Linked DNA regions of Sus scrofa. The protein of the gene in region 1 purifies or fractionates together with the protein of each later gene. This does not show direct contact. Links are inferred from orthologs where the notes say so. Each region holds a gene or a part of one and is shown in the gene's direction. Other genes may lie near its edges.

Region 1 (4,425 bases):
GAGGGGTAGCTGGGCCTTGTTTCTCGCCCCACTTGAGGAAGAAATATGGAGAAGTGCCGATTCCCCTTGACCTCCTCCGCGCTGTCCCATGATAATGACGCCTCCAGAGAGAAGGATAATCTGGGTCCCTCACTCTTCCTGCCCTTGCCCCAGCAAAGTCTTCTTTATGTCACACTCACACCCTATTCCGGGTGACTGGAGCCCAAATCCGGCAACAACCATCCCTAATCCCAGGTCGTTTTGGTAATTCCCAAACCCAGATGTTGTGGCAACATTCAAAGTGGGAGGAGTTTAGGCGGTGACCCGTCAGGTACCTGAGGTTCAACAAGCTACCCTTTTCCTTTTTTCAGATAATGCTCGGAATCTTTTTCAATGTCCACTCTGCTGTGCTCATTGAAGACGTTCCTTTCACGGAGAAAGATTTTGAGTAAGTGGAGAGGCGGCAGCGGAAATGGTCAGAATTATGGGTGGGGAAACTGCAGAAAGTGGGATGCTTGGGGCCAGGAGGCCAGGGAACTGGGTGCGGAGAGTTGCTCTCTTTGGCACACAGGAGCAGTTTTGGGTCAGACCTCAGCGACCATACTAAACCCACCACTTTGGGGCGGCTTCTTTAGTTAGGCATTTTATTTTTCTGGGCCTCCGTCCACCTCTGCAAAGTGGATACTATACTAGAACTCACCCCATAGGGTTATGAAGATTGAAAAAGATAACACACGTAAAATCTTTTAGAACGGTACCTGGCACATAGTGCTCAGTAAATGTTGGCTGCTCTTAATGTTTCTGACATTTCTCTACCTAATCCCACCCCTAGGAATGGCCCCCAGGACATATACAAGCTCTACGAGCAAGTCAGCTACAACTGTTTCATCGCCGCGGGCCTTTACCTTCTCCTCGGAGGCTTCTCTTTCTGCCAAGTTCGGCTCAATAAGCGCAAGGAATATATGGTGCGCTAGAGCACCACTGCGTTTCCCCGCTCCAGCCCCCTCTTCTATTTAAAGACCACCCGGTCAACCCCGCCCCCGCCCCGCCCCGCCCATTCTGGAGCCCTCTGCGGACTGGGTTTCCCTGGCTAGAGATGGAATCCCTTGTTCACCAACCTCGGGAGACTGCCCCCAGTGGAGGGAGGCTAGGGCTGGCCGTCCCCTATCCCTCTGGCCCTCTTGCCATGTCCGGTTCCACAATAAAAGAGAAACTGCTCTCTGAAGCCTCCTGTGTATGCTTGGGCTGGGGGGCGGGCACCGGGGCGGGAGATCTGCCTCCAAATAGGGAGTCCGACCCCTCGACGGAAGTGGAATGCAGCAGAGCCGGAAGTGAGGCGGTGTCTTCCACTTTCCTTCCCTGCGCGCGCGGAGGCGACCTAAGTAACCGTGGCTAGTGAGGCGAAGAGCGGCCGAGCTGGAGCCAATCAGCTGCGGGAAGGGGCGGGACTTCCTGCGCGGAGGCCGGAGCCGTTCGGTCTCCCCGCTCTCCGTGGTCCCGGCTCTGGGCTAGCGGCGGCGGCTGCGTCTCCGTGAGGAGGCGCGCGGGGCCATGACGTCAGCGTCCACAAAGGTTCGACCTCCCTCGCGGACAGCGCTCCCTGGCGGCCACGGGAGGGCGGGCTCTCAGTTGGCTCCCGGCTCTTCCGTCCGGGGCGGGGGCGGGGGGCGGGGGTGGGGTGGCGGGCGGGAGTCCAGCCTGGGGTGGGGTTAGGGGCTCCGGGCGGGACGGCGCGGGGGTGTGCGCCGGCCCCCCGTAATGCTGCCCCGCCCCCAGGTCGGAGAGATCTTCTCCGCGGCGGGCGCCGCCTTCACGAAGCTCGGGGAGCTGACCATGCAGCTGCATCCCGTGGCCGACTCATCCCCGGCGGGGTACGTGAGCCCAGGCTGGGACGTGGACGCTGAGAGCGGACGCTGGGACTCGGTCACAGACACGGACACTCTCTAGGGCCGGGACAGATGTTAGTTTCCCTTTGTGCCTGGCACAGCGCAGAATAGGTGTTAATAAATGATTGTTGCATGAATGAATGAATGAATGAAACACAGACTGAGGCTCACGATCCGGACTCATTTCACAGCTCTACCCTGCTGCGAACTAGCAGACTGTAGATCACCACCACTCCCCACCTACCCCAATCATGTGGCATTCTGTCAAACTGCTGCAGACTGTGTTTAGGGGTTCTGTTTGTAAGATTCCTACTTTTGAATGCTGTTTACAGCAGCAGTGTCACGTTGGGGGGGGAGGGTTTCTTCTAAGGTGGCGCTTGTTGCAATATTGTGTGCTTGGGGGGTCCTCAGGGTTCCCACGGGACCTTTTTTTTTTTTTTTTTTTTAAAGGAGGATGTCTTTGTGGACCCGTGGGAGGGGCCCCAGGCATTGAGGGGAGGAGGCTGGTTGCTGTGGAATGCATGGCCGGTGGGCTGGCTCCACACCCCTCCTCCTCCTCCCACTTTGGCAATTCCCCTCTCCCCTTCTGACAGTGCCAAGTGGACGGAGACGGAGATAGAGATGCTGAGGGCTGCTGTGAAGCGATTTGGGGACGATCTTAATCACATCAGCTGTGTCATCAAGGAACGGACAGTGTGAGGGAGGGTTGGCTGGCAGAGAGAGGGTGGGTGGGCAGCTTTCTTCCTCCATGCCCGTTGCTCCGTCTTCCTCAGAACGCCCAGCTCAACATCTTTCCTACTCGGTTGCTAGTTTTGTTAGCATTCCCTCGAGGACTGAAAGAGTAAAAGAATTGTTACAATTGATCAGAAGTTAACTAAAATGCTCTGGCAGTCAGGCCCTTACAAGAATTGGATTTTAGGTTGCCTGAGCAATCGAATCTGGTGATAGGAGTTCCCTGGTTATTTGTACAGATCTTTCGAGACGCTCCTGCGGTGTTTCCAGCGGTATTAGGATTCTGAACTAGCAGATCAGGATAAGTCTCAGGCTACCTGTCGATCACCCAGGCTCACCTGGTAGCTTCCACACATCCAGTCATCCCTCCCAGAAGAGAATTAGGAGCTGGGCCTGTCCCACGACTCAGCCGAGGGACTCCGCTCTTCACGCTCCATTGGCCCTAAGTGGCTGCACAGCTTCAGAAAGATCAGAGCCTGCCCAAAGCGCTGGGACCCTGGCCTGCATTCTTAGGACGGGGCGCCCCCGTGTCCCTTCAGAGTGGCCCACTGCCCCTGCCCTCCCCTCCCTTCTTCCCTCAGCCTGTCTGACGACCCCCCTTCCCAACTTGCTCTCTCTCCTCTTCAGGGCTCAGATAAAGGCCACGGTGAAGCGCAAGGTATACGAAGACTCCGGCATCCCCCTTCCGGCTGATTCGCCCAAGAAAGGGCCCAAGAAGGTGGCATCTGGCGTCTTGTCGCCTCCTCCGGCTGCCCCTCCACCAAGCAGCTCCAGTGCCCCCGAGGCCGGGGGTCCCCCCCTAAAGAAACAGAAGGCTGGTGAGGGCTGTGGAGCTGCTGCCTAGGGATTAAAGGGCCCACAGGAGGTTCAGTGAGAGAACTGGGCTTGGGTCAAAGGGCACGTCTCTCTTCTTCTCCCAGTGAAGGCTCCCAGAGAGGGGCTGGAGCAGGGGAGGGACGGAGGGCGGGCTTGGAACTTTGGGAAGTGGAGGTGGGGGGGACGTCAGGGGACCCAGAACCTAGCTTGTGCCCCCCTCCCAGATGTGACACTCAGTGCTCTGAACGACTCCGACGCCAACAGTGACCTGGTGGACATTGAAGGGCTGGGAGAGACTCCTCCGGCCAAGAAACTCAACTTCGACCAGGGTAGGAGTCTGCCTCCTCCCACAGCAGCTGAAGGGGCGCCCCCGCCCCCACACCCCCGCGCCCCCCTGTGCTGATGCCGATGGTGGGGGGCGGACCTCGGCAGGAGCCCCCTCCCACCTACCTGGGCTTTGGGAGAGAAGGTGCCCTCCTGTGCACGCAGGGTCTGTCAGGTGCCCGCTGCTCCGGGAGGTCGGGGTCATCTCGGAGGCCACCTTGGGGCTCGCTCCATCTCGGCCCGTTTCACTTCCTGTTCCAGACAGCCTGACCCTGGATTCTGGCCTTCTTCTGACCTCTGCTGATCCTCCTCTGCTCTCTTGCTGAGCCTGCCACCTCTGACCCCTGTCACTGTTCACCCTGGACCTGTGGACCGCCTGGGACTCTGAGCAAGGCCTGCCTGAGAGAGGGCAGAAAGGCCGCCGGGGCGGCCCAGCTTGCTGTTCCTGTATGAGCATCCGGCCCCGACCCCTCGGATCCCCCGTCTGATGGACATTTTTATACAGAAAACAATAAAGATCTCCCTCTCAGCTTGGTGCCTTGGGCCTGAGGTTATTGGAGGACAGGGGACTCGTCCCTCTCTCCTTAGGCCCCCGGGGCTCAGCCCCTCCTCCGCAGCTCTCACCACCCTGCCTGGGGCAGCACAGCCAATACTGGCAGACTCTCCGCCCGGTGCCAATATTTCTGTG
Region 2 (3,934 bases), on another chromosome or scaffold:
ATTTACTGGAGCAAATTTTGGAGCAAAATTTTGTGTTAGTAGTTTTATTAATCCTATTTATAGACATATTAGTCTAACAGCAAGTCTTAGTTTTATATCTCTGTGTTAACTGTTTCTTGAACTAAGGGACATAGTTAAAAATATGAGATATACACTTGTAGCTTATCCACTCATTACAAGTTGGTTGAAGTAGGAAAATTGCAATCATAAGTGATGTGTGAATGGTTATTGAAGTTTGACAATAAGAAGGTTTTTGTGCTTTACTTTTCTAAGTAGAAAAGGCTGATTTGGGAGTATTAGTGATAATACTGACCAGTTTTCTGCATATCAGAAACTTCTTGTATTTATAATGCTTTCATCTGTTGATACTTAAAAAAATTGATAATAACTTTGGTTTTCAAATATCCCAAATATCTCTTATTCTCCCCACACAAAAGGGTATATTTTATTGAGATACAGTATTCAATAGGCCTTATTATATAATATGTATGCTTTAGAAATATTTCAAAACTTATGACTTAGAATTTGGCATTTTGGAGTTGGTGCAATAGGATCAGCAGTGTTTTTGGAGCTCTGGGACAGAGGTTTGATCCCTGGCCGGCAGAGGGGTTAACGATCCAGCATTGCTGTCACTGTGGCATCACAACTGTGGCTTGGATATGATTCCTTGCTCGGGAACTTCCATATTCCATGGGGCAGCCAAAAAAAAGAATCTGGCATTTTATATAAAAGTGAAAATTATCAGATGTGAATAAACAAATGATTGATGTTTGGGAGTAAATTGCATGGTATTATAGCTGACATTTAAAAAATTCAATAAAAAATTCAAGTTTCCACTAAACTAAGATTTGTTTGATTAACATTAGACAACAAAATTTTTTTTCAGGAAGACTTGTGGATCAGAATCTTAACAAAATCGGGAAAGATGAAATGCTTCAAATGATAAGGCATGGGGCAACACATGTATTTGCTTCAAAGGAAAGTGAGATTACTGATGAGGATATTGATGGTATTTTGGAAAGAGGTGCCAAGAAGGTGAGATGCAGATTACATTATGTTTTTAATACATAACATATATCAAACCAGACCTGTTTGAGGAAACTGTTACATGGGTCATAGATAATGTTATTTCCACGGAAGTTTTTATATACTGTAAAGCCTAATCATTTGGACTACAGTTCTTATGCTTTTTAAATTCTCAATCTAATATGACATTTCTTTTGTTTGCTAGACTGCAGAGATGAATGAAAAGCTCTCCAAGATGGGTGAAAGCTCACTTAGAAACTTTACAATGGATACAGAGTCAAGTGTTTATAACTTTGAAGGAGAAGATTATAGAGAAAAACAAAAGGTAATTTAGGACGAGGTTATGGTTACTTGAAAGTTGGAATTTAAAGTGTTAAGTATGATGCTTGTCATGAACAGCAGTCATTTCTGTTTACTCATGTCTAAATTATTTTCATTTTTGTGTTAAATTTAATGCCAGGTTTTCATGTGGTAAACTCTTGAATGCTTTAAAGTTTATGTATTCTGTTAAAGTGAAATATATTGTGTGGGGTGGTTATAATATTTAAACATTAAACATTCAAACATTAAAACTATTGCCAAAAAATTTTTTTGCAACTTTACTAGATTTTCTTTTTTAAAAAAAACCAGCAGAATTGGCTGATAATAATTAAAGGGAAGAACTTCCTAATTTCATAAGTAATACTTGCTATTATAAAGGAAAATTAGAAAAAAAATTCTGATGCTTTCTCTTTTAACATTTTGATGTATTTATTCTTTAGGGTTTTTTTCTAGGCTAAATATATATCTACGTTTCGTTCCTAATTTGGGTTGTAGCATACCTTTTATAATATTTTTTTTTCATTCCGTTGTCATTAATTTGGTCAAATATTTAGAGAATGTCTTGCTTATTCACTAGACAGCATCTTATGTGTTAATAACATAGTCTCTAGCCTCATAGAGCACATAGGATTTCATGAGTATCTTCGCAGTTGTAAATAACAGTTGTTGTATTGCACACAGGAGTTGCATTCATGTAAGATTTGCGACTGTATAATAAAGTTGGTGATTTGAATTGTTTCCCATGTGCCAGATTGCATTCACAGAGTGGATTGAACCACCTAAACGAGAAAGAAAAGCCAACTATGCTGTTGATGCCTATTTCAGGGAAGCTCTTCGCGTCAGTGAACCTAAAGCACCCAAAGTGAGTTGACAGAGCACACTTATCTAAAAATATTGGAAATATAAATTATTTTTCTTCCTATATTCTTGTGATAAAATCAGACTAAGAATTAGATTTTGTGTGATTTCTTACAATACTTCCTTCAACTTTTGTTAAGTTTTCCAAAAATTAATTTTGAATGTGTGCATTTAAAATTTGATTAATGTTTGTTCAATTTTAGTGGAAAATTTATTCAATTGCTTGCAGAATTGACTGTCATGGTTGATAGAATGAAGGAAAGATGATAGATAGATTTAAAGCAAAGTAGTTTGGTTTTTACGGACAATATAATTTTTTTTTCCCTTTAGGCTCCTCGACCTCCAAAACAACCCAATGTTCAGGATTTCCAGTTCTTTCCTCCACGTCTATTTGAATTATTAGAAAAAGAAATTCTATATTACAGAAAAACAATTGGGTACAAGGTAATAAAAGTAGCACTTTGTTCATAACTAAATCTAGTTTGTTTTTAACTGAAATAAATGTAGGATATCAGTTTGTTTTCTTTCATGGTTTCATTAAAACTCATGAAATGTCATGTAGCTGGTTGATAGTTTGGTTCATCACATGCTTCCTAAAATATATTGATTGATAGATAACACAGAGAAATACTTGTTCTTTAGGTGCCTCGAAATCCTGACCTACCAAATGCAGCACAGGCGCAAAAAGAAGAACAGCTCAAAATTGATGAGGCTGAACCCCTTAACGATGAAGAGTTAGAGGAAAAAGAGAAACTTCTAACACAGGTATAGCCTCTAGTCAACACAAAATTTAGTGACTTTTTTTGTAAGGTACTGTGTTAGGTTGTTTTGGGATATACAAGGAAGTATGAGTTTTTACTTTCAAAAATGGAATACTTGGAGATGATAAAGCATGGGTATATGTTCCATTGTCATTAGTTGTTGAGATAGTTGAGATTATACATTTGCACCATCCTTGGCAGAATGGGTATCCTTTTGATCACTTTTCTCCCAGCATTCCCATCTTCCCTTTTCTGGGAATCTTTTTTTTTTTTTTTTTTTTTGGCCACCCCCATGGCATGTGGAAGTTTCCAGGCCAGGGATTGAACCCAAGCCATAGCAGTGACAATGCCAGATCCTTAACTTGCTACACCACAAGGGAACTCCTTTCCCGTGAAGCTTATACATTACTAGTAACTTATTCTCAATTATAAGTCTTTTCTTGGTACTTATTTTAACATCCTTGAGAGTTCAATCAAGGCTTTTTAGAATCTGGCCTTAACCTACCCATAAAGTCTTACTTTCTTTCTGTTTTCCCACTTGGATTATATCTTTGCCCTTTAATCTATGTTCACTCCTCCTGGCAAATTTCTTTTCCTTCAGAGCTCAATGAAAATGTTACCTTTTCATGTAGATTCTTTTCTCTTCCACTCAGATTTAATTGCTTGGCTATATAAGCAATATATGATGTATTGCTAAAAGTGTACATTTGTGTATATGAAAAGTCAACACTGTAAAAGAACTTTAAAAAACTGGGAGTAATTGAAAATTCTCTGTAATACTTATTAGCAGTATTGCTAAAGTTGAATAGGTTTTATTCCCAAGTTCAGTGTGCTGTGATTATATGTTTTGTTTCTATTGCTTTGAAGGGATTTACCAATTGGAATAAGAGAGATTTTAACCAGTTTATTAAAGCTAATGAGAAGTGGGGTCGCGATGATATTGAAAATATAGCAAGAGAAGTAGAAGG
Region 3 (3,805 bases), on another chromosome or scaffold:
GACCTGAAGGAGAAAGCCGCAGTGGCCGGGGTTTGTTTGCTGTAGGTTTAGAGCCTACCCCTTGGGTTGGACTCTGCGTGCTTGGGGTCTCTGAAGAGGCGAGTGTGCGGAGAGCAGTGGTGTAGACGCTGCTGACGGGGGCGCGGGAGAGAGGCGGGGCGGGGTGGAGTGGCCTGCTTGTGTCCTGTGTGCCTTGTACCCCTGTGTTGTAGATGGGACACCAGGTCCAATACCACCTCCAAGCCGAGCCACCTGGTGGATGCACACACCGCCGAGGTCAATTGCCTGTCGTTCAATCCCTACAGCGAGTTCATTCTCGCCACTGGCTCTGCGGATAAGGTTTCTCAATTTTTGCATACTTGGTATTTTATGAACGCCCTTGTCTTGTCCTGTAACACCTGAACTTTCTTACGTAACGTGAAGAAACGAATTCCTTTTTATTGTTCTTCAGACTGTAGCTTTATGGGACCTGCGTAATTTAAAATTGAAACTCCATACCTTCGAATCTCATAAAGATGAAATTTTCCAGGTAAGTGACAGTTTTCTGGTGTTTGTGTCAGATTTTCATAACTTTTTGGTAGAGGGAAATTAAAAAAGATTTCTCCTTTTATACGGTCAGCATAGAACACGGTGTTTTATTTTTTAAGCTCCTCTTCCACTATATAAATGGGAAATAATGTGGAGGTTTTTTAGAAACTATTAGTTCAGAGGTAGAAGAAAAATCTTGCAAAACAGGATCCATTGAAAAAATGAAATCCAAGAATTCTTCCTTGAAGGTATGTCAGCATAGTGGGTTCTCTAGTGAAAAAATACCTTGTATATGGTTGAAAATTGAGATTTTCACTTCATTGAAAGATTTTGAAGCTTCTGGGGTGGTTTTGGGGCCGAATAAGTGTGTTGGACCCTTAGCTGAGTTTCCCTGTGTTTTGGAGAGATGGGCCACTTTGAGTGCCTGAAAGGATAGGACAAGGAGGGTGAGGGCCTGTAGGCCAAGGCGAGGCTACCGTGCACGAAATGGGAACATACCCAGGATTAGAACAAAATCCACCAACTTTGGAATGGATGAGTCTTTACATTTGCAAATGTAAACTTGCAGGTCCACTGGTCTCCACATAATGAAACTATTCTGGCTTCAAGTGGTACTGATCGCCGTCTGAACGTGTGGGATTTAAGGTAACTCAGAATCTCGTGACAAGAAATTGCATAAATATGCTAATCTGGCAGGTTATGTAATAATTCATAAACTAGCAGAGCAATTTGCTAACCCCATTAATAAGTCTAAAAGTAATTTTAAGTGCCTTCCTGAAGAGTCTTTGTTCCATAAAATAGAAGCGAATCAGCATTGGTCTGTAAAATAAATGTATGCCAACGTGAGTTTTGTGTCTCTGTGCCTACTCAGGCCTGACGTTGGGGTACGGGGTGGCGGGGGGTGTGACATCCGTATGTTGGGTTTCACAACCCGCTTGCTGTGGAAAGAAAGCGTAAAGGCGTCGGCGCCTCCTGTTTCATTGGATCTCACGTCCACCTGCAGCACTGGTCTCCGTTTTTCTCCCGTTTGCTGTTCTGTGCTTTCGTTGACTGTTTTCTCAGGGATGAACCCGGGCTGTGGGTTGTGTAAGTGCTGAGGATGAACTGGGACGCCAGCACAGCCCATGCTGCCAGAGAGGTCATGTTCTTTTGGGGACTCACCGTGGTCCCAACTCTCAATTCCCTGACTACAGAGTTGCTATTCTAAGAATTTCAGACGCCTTTGGGGTTTTTTTAGCCTTTAGAGCCATAGATGATGTTGCACAGTTCCGTACATTCCCCCAAGATGTTCTTATCTCAAGTTCACATCATGAAAATGCCGAAAGTAACTTCATTCCTACCTGTGTTGCTTTGACTTTGCTTTGACATGGACTAAGTTTTTAGTCCAGATTGCCTTCATTATCGAGACAGGAGGCCCCCTCTTCAGTGTACGGAACAGAGACACTGAGGAGAAAATGTTTGTATGTAAAAATTCTAAACAGCCAATGTTCCATGTTCTTATGGCCATGATAGATGCTGGGAAATGTAGAGAATCTTTAAAACAAGCATTTCAGTATATTCTTTTTCATTTGAAAACAATTTTAGTAGTAAAATTAGAAACCTAAAACAAGGAGTTCCCATTGCGGCTCAGTGCTAATGAACCCACCTCATATCCATGAGGATGTAGGTTCGATCCCTGGCCTCGCTCAGTGGGTTAAGGATCCGGTGTTGCTATGAGCTGTGGTGGAGGTCGCAGAAGTGGCTCAGATCCCGTGTTGCAGGCCAGTGGCTACAGCTCCAGTTCAACTCCCAGTCTGGGAACCTCCACATGCTGTGGGTGCGGCCCTAAAAAGCAAAAATAAAGAAAGAATAAGATGTGATGTCTGGGCTGATGCTGGCTTTGCAAATACTCCTGCTATAAGAACTTCAGTAACGAAGGCATGTTCTTTCTTAATAGCAAAATTGGAGAAGAACAGTCGGCAGAAGACGCAGAAGATGGGCCTCCAGAACTCCTGGTGTGTACTGGCTTTCCTCATACAAGATGAAATGTCATGTGGACATTGGCCTGTTTATCATTGTTTCGCATCTCTGGAAAATGAGTCAAAAACCTCAAATTTCACCTCTTAAAGATGATTTCAAATTGGAAGCGCTAGAGGTTATCGTGATAGGGTTTTGGCGTTTATTAAAAATAGTAAATAGAGCCCAGTGGATTTTTACCAATATTTCAGTGAGAAGAATTTAGGCTCCTGGCAAATAGTGTATAGTAATTTCTCCCTGGTTCTCAGTAATAATGTTTCTGAGGGTTTAGTGGGGCGGGGCTTTGATGCTGTTAGCAGGACTTAACACTTTCTCACAGTGTGAAAAAACGGTATGACCTGACTTGTAAGTTCCTTGCTCAGAAAAATGAATGCTTCCCCGATCTTTCACCTGTTCCTAATTAAATTATTTTGGCATCTCCTCAGCCCTTTGAAGGTTTACGAGGTGGTATCTGTCCTGTCCTGTCCTTCTGTCTCAGTCCTTCGTTGTACACTTGAAGTCCCTTTTCTGGGAAGCGTTGCCAGTCGTTTGGCAGAATCGCTTGTTCCTCTGTTCCGCGTACTTAGCTCTTAGACCAGTACGAATTCGCTTTGTACACTTGGGCTTTGCCCACCACTTGTAAAGAAGGCTGTCGAGGGTGAGCCCTGCTCGCAGAAGAGGCTTGCTAAAGCCGGCGCACTGTGCCCATCGGGGAGCCTCTGCTCCTGTCCGCTGTTCCCATGCCCTGCAGCACTGGATTGTGGCAAAGACACACCAGCGTATTTCGTGTTAACATAGTGCTGCAGTTTTTTTTTACTTTAGTAATACCTTTATTGATGAATATTTGGCAGGACATACAACGAACTGTTTTTAGAGTAAACACTGCCGTGGTTTTTAGTAGTTCATAGAGTTGGACAGCCATCACAAGTCTGTTTTAGAACATTTTTGTCCCCTTGTAAAGAAAGTGTGCCCTTTACCTCTTGGCCCCCAGGCTTCTCCTTTCACCAGCCCCTGGCCACCTCTGATCTACTTTCTGTCTCTAGATGTACCTGTTCTAGACATTTCATATGAAAGGAATCATATGTGGTCTTTGTGACTCGTTCTTGCATTTAGCATAATGTTAAGGTTTGCAGCTATTTTTTGATGCTGCAGGGAGACGGTAGTGTGTTATGCCTCTGTAACAATTTCATGGTCTCTGAGGACATCTAGGATTTTCCTTTTTTTGAAAGTGGGACTCTGGGAGTTCCCATCGTGGCTCAGTGGTTAATGAACCCGACTGGTA
Region 4 (4,515 bases), on another chromosome or scaffold:
AAAATCAGGGCAAAGCTAAGCACCACACCAGCCTCTCCTTTCCTCTCAGTGGCACAATCCTTCAATCACCTGTGTCTTGCTCTTTGCATCTTTCCCTGTTCAAAACCAGTCCCTGAACAGGATCTCACACTCATTCACACTAAGGTGTAAATGGCCAATAACAGCTAAAATGTCACAAGGTTTTTGCATATTAAGGAATTACAGCTTTAAAACAAAAAAGAAATTTAGGGTATCCCAGGAAAAAGGGATGTATCTGGAGGACAAATGTGTGCCTTCCTGCTATTTGCAGAAATCACACTTGATTTCAGATTGGTAACTTAGGAAGGTGTGTTGAGGGAAATTAATCATGCTTTCTTCATACTTTGGAAAATAGATGCTTCATTTTCAGAATTGTAGGTTTTGTGATTGGTGTTCGGTATACTGGTTTTCTGTATGTTTTGCTACCTTTCGTCCCCAATGACTGAAATTTTAAGGCTGAGATGTAAATCTTCCTGTTATTGATCAAAATAAATGGTGGGGAGAAATGGAAACAATAATATTTAATAACTGACGTTTGCATACCCTTTACGAAATGCTCTTATATCCACGATTATGCATATTACTGGTGTTGAATTACTACTAAACAACGGGGTAGGAATAGAATACCAAAACAATCACAATAATTCAGTTCAACTGCTGATGTTGGGCACCTACCATGCGTTGCCCCAGGTTCTGTGGGGACATTGACCTTGCCCCCCAGAAGTTTTTAAAATTCATTGGTGAAGGCAAAAGATGGGCTCCTGCACATTGGCCATCCAAGAGGTTTCAGAACCGAAAATAGAGCGAATATACGTAAAAACCGAGTCACACTTTGCCTTGTAAGTGAATGTTTGCAGCTGCAATCAAGAGATTCAAGGAATGCTTCTCCTGCAGAATTTACAAAGGTGGGAAGGGCACCACCAGTCCCCCTTTGGGGATCTGGGAAAGGACAGTCCCCAGAGGGGATCTGGGCTTTGCAAATGGTGAGACAGACCTTCTACAGTACAGTTATAAGCAGAGGAAAAGTTCTTTGTGCAAGAAGGGGAGAGCGCCCCGAGGTACAAAGAGCAGATTTAAGGGGAAGAGGATTCCTTCTGCACACATCTGCGAGGGGAGCTCGGGCTGACTGTTGGGGGCGTGTGGGGAAGGAGATTTTTTAGGGGGCCGCGGGCTGTGGGTTCCCGCCTCCACCCCAGTCCGCGCCCCACGCTCAGGCAACAGTTGGTCGTGCGGGGACGGCCTGGGCTCCGGGTGGGGAGGGGGAGTCTCGCGATCGTTGAGGGGGGGTGGAGGAAGGGGGGAGGGTGACGGGGGGAGGCCATGACGTAGGGTGGGTGGACGGAAGTGGGGCAGGGTTGAGGGTTATTTAAAGAAGGGGGGGCCGAGCGAAGGGGTTGGAAGCGAGTGATTCCCCACCCCTGCTCCATCTAGCTCTTTCCAGTGCAGCCACTGCCGCCGCCCAGGAGCCCTCGTCCCCTCGCTCGTTCCCCTCTTCGTTCCCGCTCCAACGCCATGGAGCCGGACACCGCCGCAGTGGCAGCCACCGTGGCAGCCTCTGATGCGACCGCCACGATCGTGGTCATAGAGGACGAGCAGCCGGGGCCGTCCATCTCCAAGGAGGAGGGAGCCGCCGCCGCGGCCACCGCGTCCACCGAAGCCACCGTGGCCACGGAGAAGGGCGAGAAGAAGAAGGAGGTAAATAGGAAGGGGGTGTGTGTGCGGTGGACAAATCCTGCGCCGGGCCCCTCGGAGGGGCCCAAACGCTGACCTTTGGGCGCCGACAGGTACCCGCGGAGCTCCGCAGGGTTGGGGGCGGCGGGCGCGCGGGGTGGGGGCGGCAGAACAGTCTAGCATTCGCTCCCCTCCCCCTTCGCTTCTCGCCGCCTGGAGGGCGGGGGCGGGGCTGGGGCGCGGGCGCGGCGCGGGGCGGCGGGTGCCCGTTATCTCGGGGCTTGGGGGCTGGGGAGCCCTCGACAGCCCCCGGCCCCTTTGGCGTTCCCGGAACTGGGGTAACGAGGTGGGGGATGGGGCCGTGGAGGAAAAAGCCTCCGCCTCCCCCTCTCCTCTCGCTCGCTCCCTCTCCCCCCCCCTTCCCGTCGGCCTCTGCCTGGGAAATCTGGGCCCTTCAATCCCACACTCAGGCAAAAGGGGTTTACTGGGGGTTTATTTTTTAAAATTTGAATTTCCAGGTGCCGGTGGTTGGGAGGAGGAGGACGATAGGAGAGACGTTTGTTTCTTTGATTGGCAATGTCGGCCTTTGGGGTGGCAGGGAGAAAAAAAATCCCTTGTTCGTTTGGTCCCCGCCTGCTGAAGCGGGGGTGTCACCCCGAGAAAACGAGCTCTCAGCGTCGTACCACCGCCCCCCCCCAATCCAGATCCCAAACTGAGGAACCCTGGACGCTGGCTTAGGAAAATTTCCAACGTGTGCACCCTCACCCTCTCCTGCCCCGCCCCCGACGGTATAGTGTTTCACTCCAGGGCCACCCAAATGGTCCCCCAATCCGGCCCCAAGCCTTCCAGGCTTCCGCCTCCTTTTCCTAGTGGGCGCTGCTGGCTCCTGGACACACGCAGGTTTTTTTTTTTTTTTTAATTTTGTTTTTTTAAACCCAGCGTCGCCAGGATGAATTGCTGCTAATGTACATAAGGGGACCGCTGTGACACCTATTAAAGCCAGATCCAAAAAAATACGTATTATCTCCATAAGGCGTATTTCATACGGACTGAGACGTGCAAGTAGAACTATGAAAGGCTATTGAAATATTGGAATAAAAAATTAGGTTGAGGCATAAGGATTTTGATGTATAGTAAAATTGTGGAATGGATCGTTTATGGCTGGATTTTTTTTCCGTTTACGAGTAGACATATCGCAATTAAAAAAACGGTAGGTAATTAAAATTATGCTTTAGCGATCTCAAGTGGCTTTGTTTGAATCATTATATGATGCTCTACGACCAAATGAAAAGCTTTTGAGGGAAATTAACACCTTTGGCCGTGAATTAGAGTAATTTTAAATTCAGCAGTTGCTTAAAAGTGACGTATTTTACTGTTACAAGGTTGACTAAACAGAAAGACAATTGTAGCGCTAAGTGAAAACCATAGAAAACATACGCATTTTAAGATCTGTGTGGTACTTGGATCAGTAAGACAATATCGATGATTAAAGCTGGGCCAAATACCAAGCATCGATGATATAAATCAATGTTGGGAAATTCAGGAATGTGTCTGGATACCTTTTCTTCCCTAGACTGGGCGAATGTAAGTGCTTGGCCGTCTTTTGTATGGCAGTAAATGTTGTCGAATTTCCAGGGTATATGAATTTTTGGAATTGTGAAGAGACTGGTAATCAATAAAAAACGTGTATAATCACTGAGTTGATGCATATATATTCGTGAACTCTGTGGCCTTATCAGAAATTGCACTAGTAGCACCTCATTTGTTGGCTCGGCATAGAGAAATGAGGTGCCACCTGGCAGGAACTTTCTGGATATCTGAATCTTATTACTTTAGTCACTACGTCTTTTTTATTTTGAATTTTTCCTTAAAAATCTGAATTGAACCACAACATCTACCTAAGTGCTTTTATTTGTTCTATTCCTTCAAATAAGGTAATTTTGTCTCTCCCCCAATATGAATATCATTTTTAATAGCATTTTTTATTCTTCAATTACATTTATAGTTGTACAATGACCATTACAACCAAATTTATAGCATTTCCATCCCAAACCCCCAGTGCATCCCCCCACTCCAGATCTAAATATCTGCACACTACCTTGATTCCTTAAATGGTGTCCTAAATGTACAGATTAACCTTTTCCTCGTGTCTCCCAGTTATTGTACTCTGACACCCATACAAAGGCATTTGAGATTTAGGAGGTTGTTTCCCCTCCAATAAACACCTTCCAGACACTTCCAATATTGCGTTGATTTTTTTTCAAAAATGTTCAGTCTCCTCCCTCAATTGTCAGGCTGTTAACTATCACTTTTTAAACACTTCATCTACTTTCATTAGAAAGAATTGGCTTATGATAAAGGACATAAGTGAAACAAAACCTTTCATTTAAAACAATGGTAAAAATACGGAGTTCCCGTCGTGGCTCAGTGGTTAACGAACCCCACTAGTATCCATGAGGACGCTGGTTCGGTCCGTGGCCTCACTCAGTGAGCTGTGGTGTAGGTCGCAGACGTGGCTCAGATCCCACGTTGCTGTGGCTGTGGCTGTGGCTTAGGCTGGCGGCTACAGCTCTGATTTGACCTCTAGCCTGGGAACCTCCACATGCAGCTGGTGCAGCCCTAAAAGACAAAAAATAAAATAAAATAAAATAAAACAATGGTAAAAATACAAGCCATCTAGCCAGGAGAGGGAAATAATTATTCCTGAACACCAAGGAGATGGGATGTTAATGCATTGGAACTTAAGGTTTGGTTCTGGGCTTTCATGCCATCCCTTCTTGCTGTTGACAGTGTGTCTTCTTCTAGTGGTCTTCCCCACGTCATTTG
Region 5 (3,934 bases), on another chromosome or scaffold:
CGCAGTGGAAATGAATCCCACTAGGAACCATGAGGTTGCGGGTTTGATCCCTGGGCTTAATCAGTAGGTTAGGAATCTGGCATTGCCGTGAGCTGTGGTGTAGGTCGCAGACGAGGCTCGAATCTGATGTTGCTGTGGCTGTGGGCATAGACCGGCAGCTGTAGCTCCAATTAGACCCCTAGCCTGGGAGCCTCCATGTGCCATGTGTGAGGCCCTAAAAAGCCAAAAAAAAAAAGCAACTCTGATGTCACGAGACAGGATGACGTTGTTTGTTGGTTTGTTTGGGCCATAAAGTATGACCCAGGAGGCAAACAGAAGTTCCCAGTAGCTTTTAAAGCACCAAATGGTTATGTCACTGTAATAACTGCAGGGCCAGAAAAGCAGAGGAGGAGATGAAGGGCCGACCATCCTATTTTGATACTTACAGATGAGGTTTGAAATAGTAACTTTTTCTATAAGGAAGCAACATATTTTTTTTTCCTTTGGCCTATACTGCGGTAGCCCTGGAAGTCAGGCTTCCTGGATTGTAGCCATTCTAGTGTACAACTGGCATAACTGTGGCACCCAGGCAATCACTATTTTTCTGAATTTCCTTTTTCTCATCCTCAAAATGAGAGGTTTGGACGGGTGCCATGTGATGCCCCTTTTCAGGTAGGAAAACTTAATTTTTTCCCTCAGTCTATGGATAATTGTAAAATGGAATGCACAGTAACATATAATCTTTTGTTTATATATCACTCATTGACCTGACTTTAAAGGCATATTTGGTTTTTGTTTCTCAAAAATCATACCTTGCTTTTGGAATTGTCAGAATACAGTGAAGAATAACATACTTCAAGCAGTTTCTTGAAGTGAAAGAGGTTTGTCTTATATTAACTACCAGTGAATCATCTTCAGTTATTTATTTACTTCTCACCTTGGACCACAAGGATGTGAATAATAAAGTAATGAGAAACTACAAGTGACAGTCAAAGCAGGATCAGGAAAATTATAAGACTGGAAATAAAAACCAGAGGAACAGTATGAACATAAATTTGGCTCTGGACTTTCTGGCCCCAAAGTAAAGAGAACTTATGTGGTTCTTTTACAGAAGATAAAAAATAGACAACCTGTAGTTCCCATCGTGGCTCAGTGGTAACGAACCCAACTGATACCCATGAGGATGCAAGTCCAGTCCCTGGCCTCGATCAGTAGGTTAAGGATCCGGCACTGCCTCGAGCTGTGGTGTAGGTCACAGATGCAGCTAAGATCCTACGTTACTGTGGTTGTGTAGGCCAGCATCTACAGTTCCAATTTGACCACTAGCCTGGGAACTTCCATATGCCTTGGGTGCGGCCCTAAAAAGGCAAAAAAAAAAAGAAAAGAAAAAGACAACCTAAGAGAGAGAAAGATTTTCCTAGTGTTTAATTCTAACAGAAATATGTACCATGGGATTGTATGTGGGAAGAATGAGGGGCTTTGCAAATAAGTACCTCCAACAGCCTGAAAAACCCAAGAATAAGTTAGCATGTGGTTTTTACATTCTAAAAGTAAAATTGATACTTATCTCTAAGTCATAAGTAACACAGCTTAAAAATCAGTTATCCTGTTTAGGAAAGCCAGTTGGTAGTTTAGATCTCTTGATGAAAAAGTGCAGGTACCTTTTCTGTTTTGTTCCCACAGAGGCAGGGTTACTCAACTTTGTGTTCTAATTAAGTCCTGTCCTGTTGTGTTTTTCTGTGGTGCTTAGCCAAAAAAGAAGAACATGTCAGCCTACCAGGTGTTCTGTAAAGAGTACCGCGTGACCATTGTGGCTGACCATCCAGGCATAGGTAAGAACATTTCTCATCTTTCGTTTTTTTACTTCCCCTTTGTGTCTCCGAAGCAGTGCAGTTCATTCAGTCGGTCAGCAGGCACACTTCTTCCCAAGCTTGAAAAGAACTCCAAACTCATTTCTTTCCTCAGCTGTGCAAGTCATTTTAGATTTGTGTCTTCGTTCACCCCAGCCATAAAGCACAGCACATAAATATGCAGTGTTCTACTTCCAAGATTCCACAGGAATCCTTAAACTGCCCTTGTTTAAGAGTGAGCTCACATATTGTTCAGATGGGTCTGAACCTTGGACCCGTCATGTAACCTTGGACCCGTCATGTAACCTCTACGAGTCTCACTCACCCAGTGTGTGAAACTAGCCTCCCGGCCCTGTCACCAGCGTTGCGGTGAGGCACGCCACGTAAGGCAGGAATGCACTCGCTGTTCACGTGGAAACACAGCATTACGCATCTGGAAGATCACATCTGAGCTGCTCTAGGGAAATTCCACTTTCTTTCCACGCTCTCAGAAACTTGGTAAAAATCTAACATCTTTTATCAAATTCTATGTAACTTGTTTTCTTTAACCTAAGTCGATAAGCGCTGCTTTGTGGGATCAAATTAAAAGACACCATAAAGATGCTTAAGGAATACATCCTTAGAGAGTAGACGTGTGAGAATTTGAGCCTGTCTCATGACACCAGAACAGCCCCTTCGTTCTAGAAAAGAATCAGGGAAAGTTAATGGGCTTTGGTTTAGTTTTCTGAAAGAATCTTGTGCTATTTAAATCTGATCTTCAAAACCCTTTTCCCAGTTTTTGCTCTTATCAGACTTCCATTTTATGTATTTATGGTTAAACCTTTATTGAGTTTATTTGTTTGTTTTTACTCTTTTATGGCAGACTTTGGGGAACTTAGTAAAAAACTGGCTGAGGTGTGGAAACAGTTGCCAGAAAAGGACAAACTGGTAAGTACACTTTATTATGGGCATGTTTTCATTGCTTTATGCCTTTCAAAGTATATAATTCTCCTATAGACCATCCCAAACAACCCTGAAAGTAGGAGGAAAAAAATTTCAAGTCAGTGGAAAATGAGCTAGCAGAGGGCAGCGAACTGATTGGTGCCGGTTCACTCAGGCGAGGATTCTGTCGCAGAGAGACTGTCTCTCCTTACTTCATCTAATTTTTCCCAACAGCCTTCCATTTAGCCACAGGATGATCTAATTTGAGCAATGATTTGTGTTAAAAGAGAATCTAGGAGTTCCCATTGTGACTCAGCAGCAGTGAACCCAACTAGTATCCATGAGAATGCAGGTTCAATCCCTGGCCTTGCTAAATGGCTTAAAATATCCAGCATTGCTGTGAGCCAAAGTGTAGGTTGCACATGTGTCAGGTCTGGCATTGCTGTGGCTGTGGTGTAGGCCGGCAGCTGCAGCTCTGATCCGACCTGTAGCCTGGGAACTTCCATGTGCCAGGGGTGCGGCCTTAAAGAAAAAAAGGAAGAGAGAATCTAAAGTCTACTACTAACACCTACTGGTCAGTCCTAGTGTGAGAACGGAAGAAAGTGGTCCACTTCATAGTCACAGCAAATAATAAAGCATGGAACAGTGTTTACTGGGTAAGTAGGTTCCCCATCATCATTCTCCTCAACCATCACCAACTAATACGCCTTCATATCAAAAAGCTAATAAGCCAGTGATGAGTAGTCATATCTGTATCATTCATAGTCACTTTAAGATGATATGAAGGTGGAGTTCCCGTTGTGGTGCAGTGGTTAACAAATCCGACTAGGAACCATGAGGTTGTGGGTTCGATCCCTGGCCTTGCTCAGTGGGTTAAGGATCCGGCGTTGCCGTGAGCTGTGGCGTAGGCCACAGACGCAGCTCAGATCCTGCATTGCTGTGGCTGAGGCGTAGGCTGGCAGTTACAGCTCCGATTCGCCCCCTAGCCTGGGAACCTCCATATGCCGTGGGAGCGGCCCTAGAAAAGGCAAAAAAAAAAAAAAAGATGATGTAAAGGTGGTGCAGGAATTAGAATTACCGTCTTGCTTTAAGGTACAGTTCATCTGGGTGAAACAACATATAATTTTTACCCAAATAAGTTTTTGTTTTCCATTTCATTTTTATCCTGCTATCAGTGTTGCGAG

Evidence for each region.
Region 2: the proteins of C12H17orf49 (region 1) and SMARCA5 purify together in Homo sapiens (affinity purification with mass spectrometry; 5 studies listed by BioGRID and IntAct, with this or other methods). This does not show direct contact. The link is inferred for Sus scrofa from reciprocal best matches to the Homo sapiens genes BACC1 and SMARCA5.
Region 3: the proteins of C12H17orf49 (region 1) and RBBP7 purify together in Homo sapiens (affinity purification with mass spectrometry; 3 studies listed by BioGRID). This does not show direct contact. The link is inferred for Sus scrofa from reciprocal best matches to the Homo sapiens genes BACC1 and RBBP7.
Region 4: the proteins of C12H17orf49 (region 1) and SMARCA1 purify together in Homo sapiens (affinity purification with mass spectrometry; 4 studies listed by BioGRID and IntAct, with this or other methods). This does not show direct contact. The link is inferred for Sus scrofa from reciprocal best matches to the Homo sapiens genes BACC1 and SMARCA1.
Region 5: the proteins of C12H17orf49 (region 1) and HMGXB4 purify together in Homo sapiens (affinity purification with mass spectrometry; 4 studies listed by BioGRID and IntAct, with this or other methods). This does not show direct contact. The link is inferred for Sus scrofa from reciprocal best matches to the Homo sapiens genes BACC1 and HMGXB4.

What each region holds. Positions count from the first base shown.
Region 1 is NC_010454.4:52,417,673-52,422,097, forward strand, and holds C12H17orf49 (chromatin complexes subunit BAP18), read left to right. Parts: upstream 1-1,316; 5' UTR 1,317-1,530; coding exon 1,531-1,551; intron 1,552-1,755; coding exon 1,756-1,850; intron 1,851-2,458; coding exon 2,459-2,560; exon of another isoform or gene 2,561-3,224; coding exon 3,225-3,415; intron 3,416-3,637; coding exon 3,638-3,742; intron 3,743-3,863; exon of another isoform or gene 3,864-3,998; coding exon 3,999-4,063; 3' UTR 4,064-4,266; downstream 4,267-4,425. UniProt on the Homo sapiens protein: Component of chromatin complexes such as the MLL1/MLL and NURF complexes.
Region 2 is NC_010450.4:84,190,263-84,194,196, reverse strand, and holds part of SMARCA5 (SWI/SNF-related matrix-associated actin-dependent regulator of chromatin subfamily A member 5), read left to right. Parts: intron 1-886; coding exon 887-1,035; intron 1,036-1,231; coding exon 1,232-1,351; intron 1,352-2,098; coding exon 2,099-2,209; intron 2,210-2,535; coding exon 2,536-2,649; intron 2,650-2,847; coding exon 2,848-2,970; intron 2,971-3,833; coding exon 3,834-3,934. UniProt on the Homo sapiens protein: ATPase that possesses intrinsic ATP-dependent nucleosome-remodeling activity.
Region 3 is NC_010461.5:13,295,941-13,299,745, reverse strand, and holds part of RBBP7 (histone-binding protein RBBP7), read left to right. Parts: exon of another isoform or gene 1-212; coding exon 213-339; intron 340-451; coding exon 452-529; intron 530-1,096; coding exon 1,097-1,173; intron 1,174-2,464; coding exon 2,465-2,522; intron 2,523-3,805. UniProt on the Homo sapiens protein: Core histone-binding subunit that may target chromatin remodeling factors, histone acetyltransferases and histone deacetylases to their histone substrates in a manner that is regulated by nucleosomal DNA.
Region 4 is NC_010461.5:106,112,736-106,117,250, reverse strand, and holds the start of SMARCA1 (probable global transcription activator SNF2L1), read left to right. Parts: upstream 1-1,324; 5' UTR 1,325-1,530; coding exon 1,531-1,713; intron 1,714-4,515.
Region 5 is NW_018084968.1:1,835,172-1,839,105, forward strand, and holds part of HMGXB4 (HMG domain-containing protein 4), read left to right. Parts: intron 1-1,729; coding exon 1,730-1,811; intron 1,812-2,691; coding exon 2,692-2,756; intron 2,757-3,934. UniProt on the Homo sapiens protein: Negatively regulates Wnt/beta-catenin signaling during development.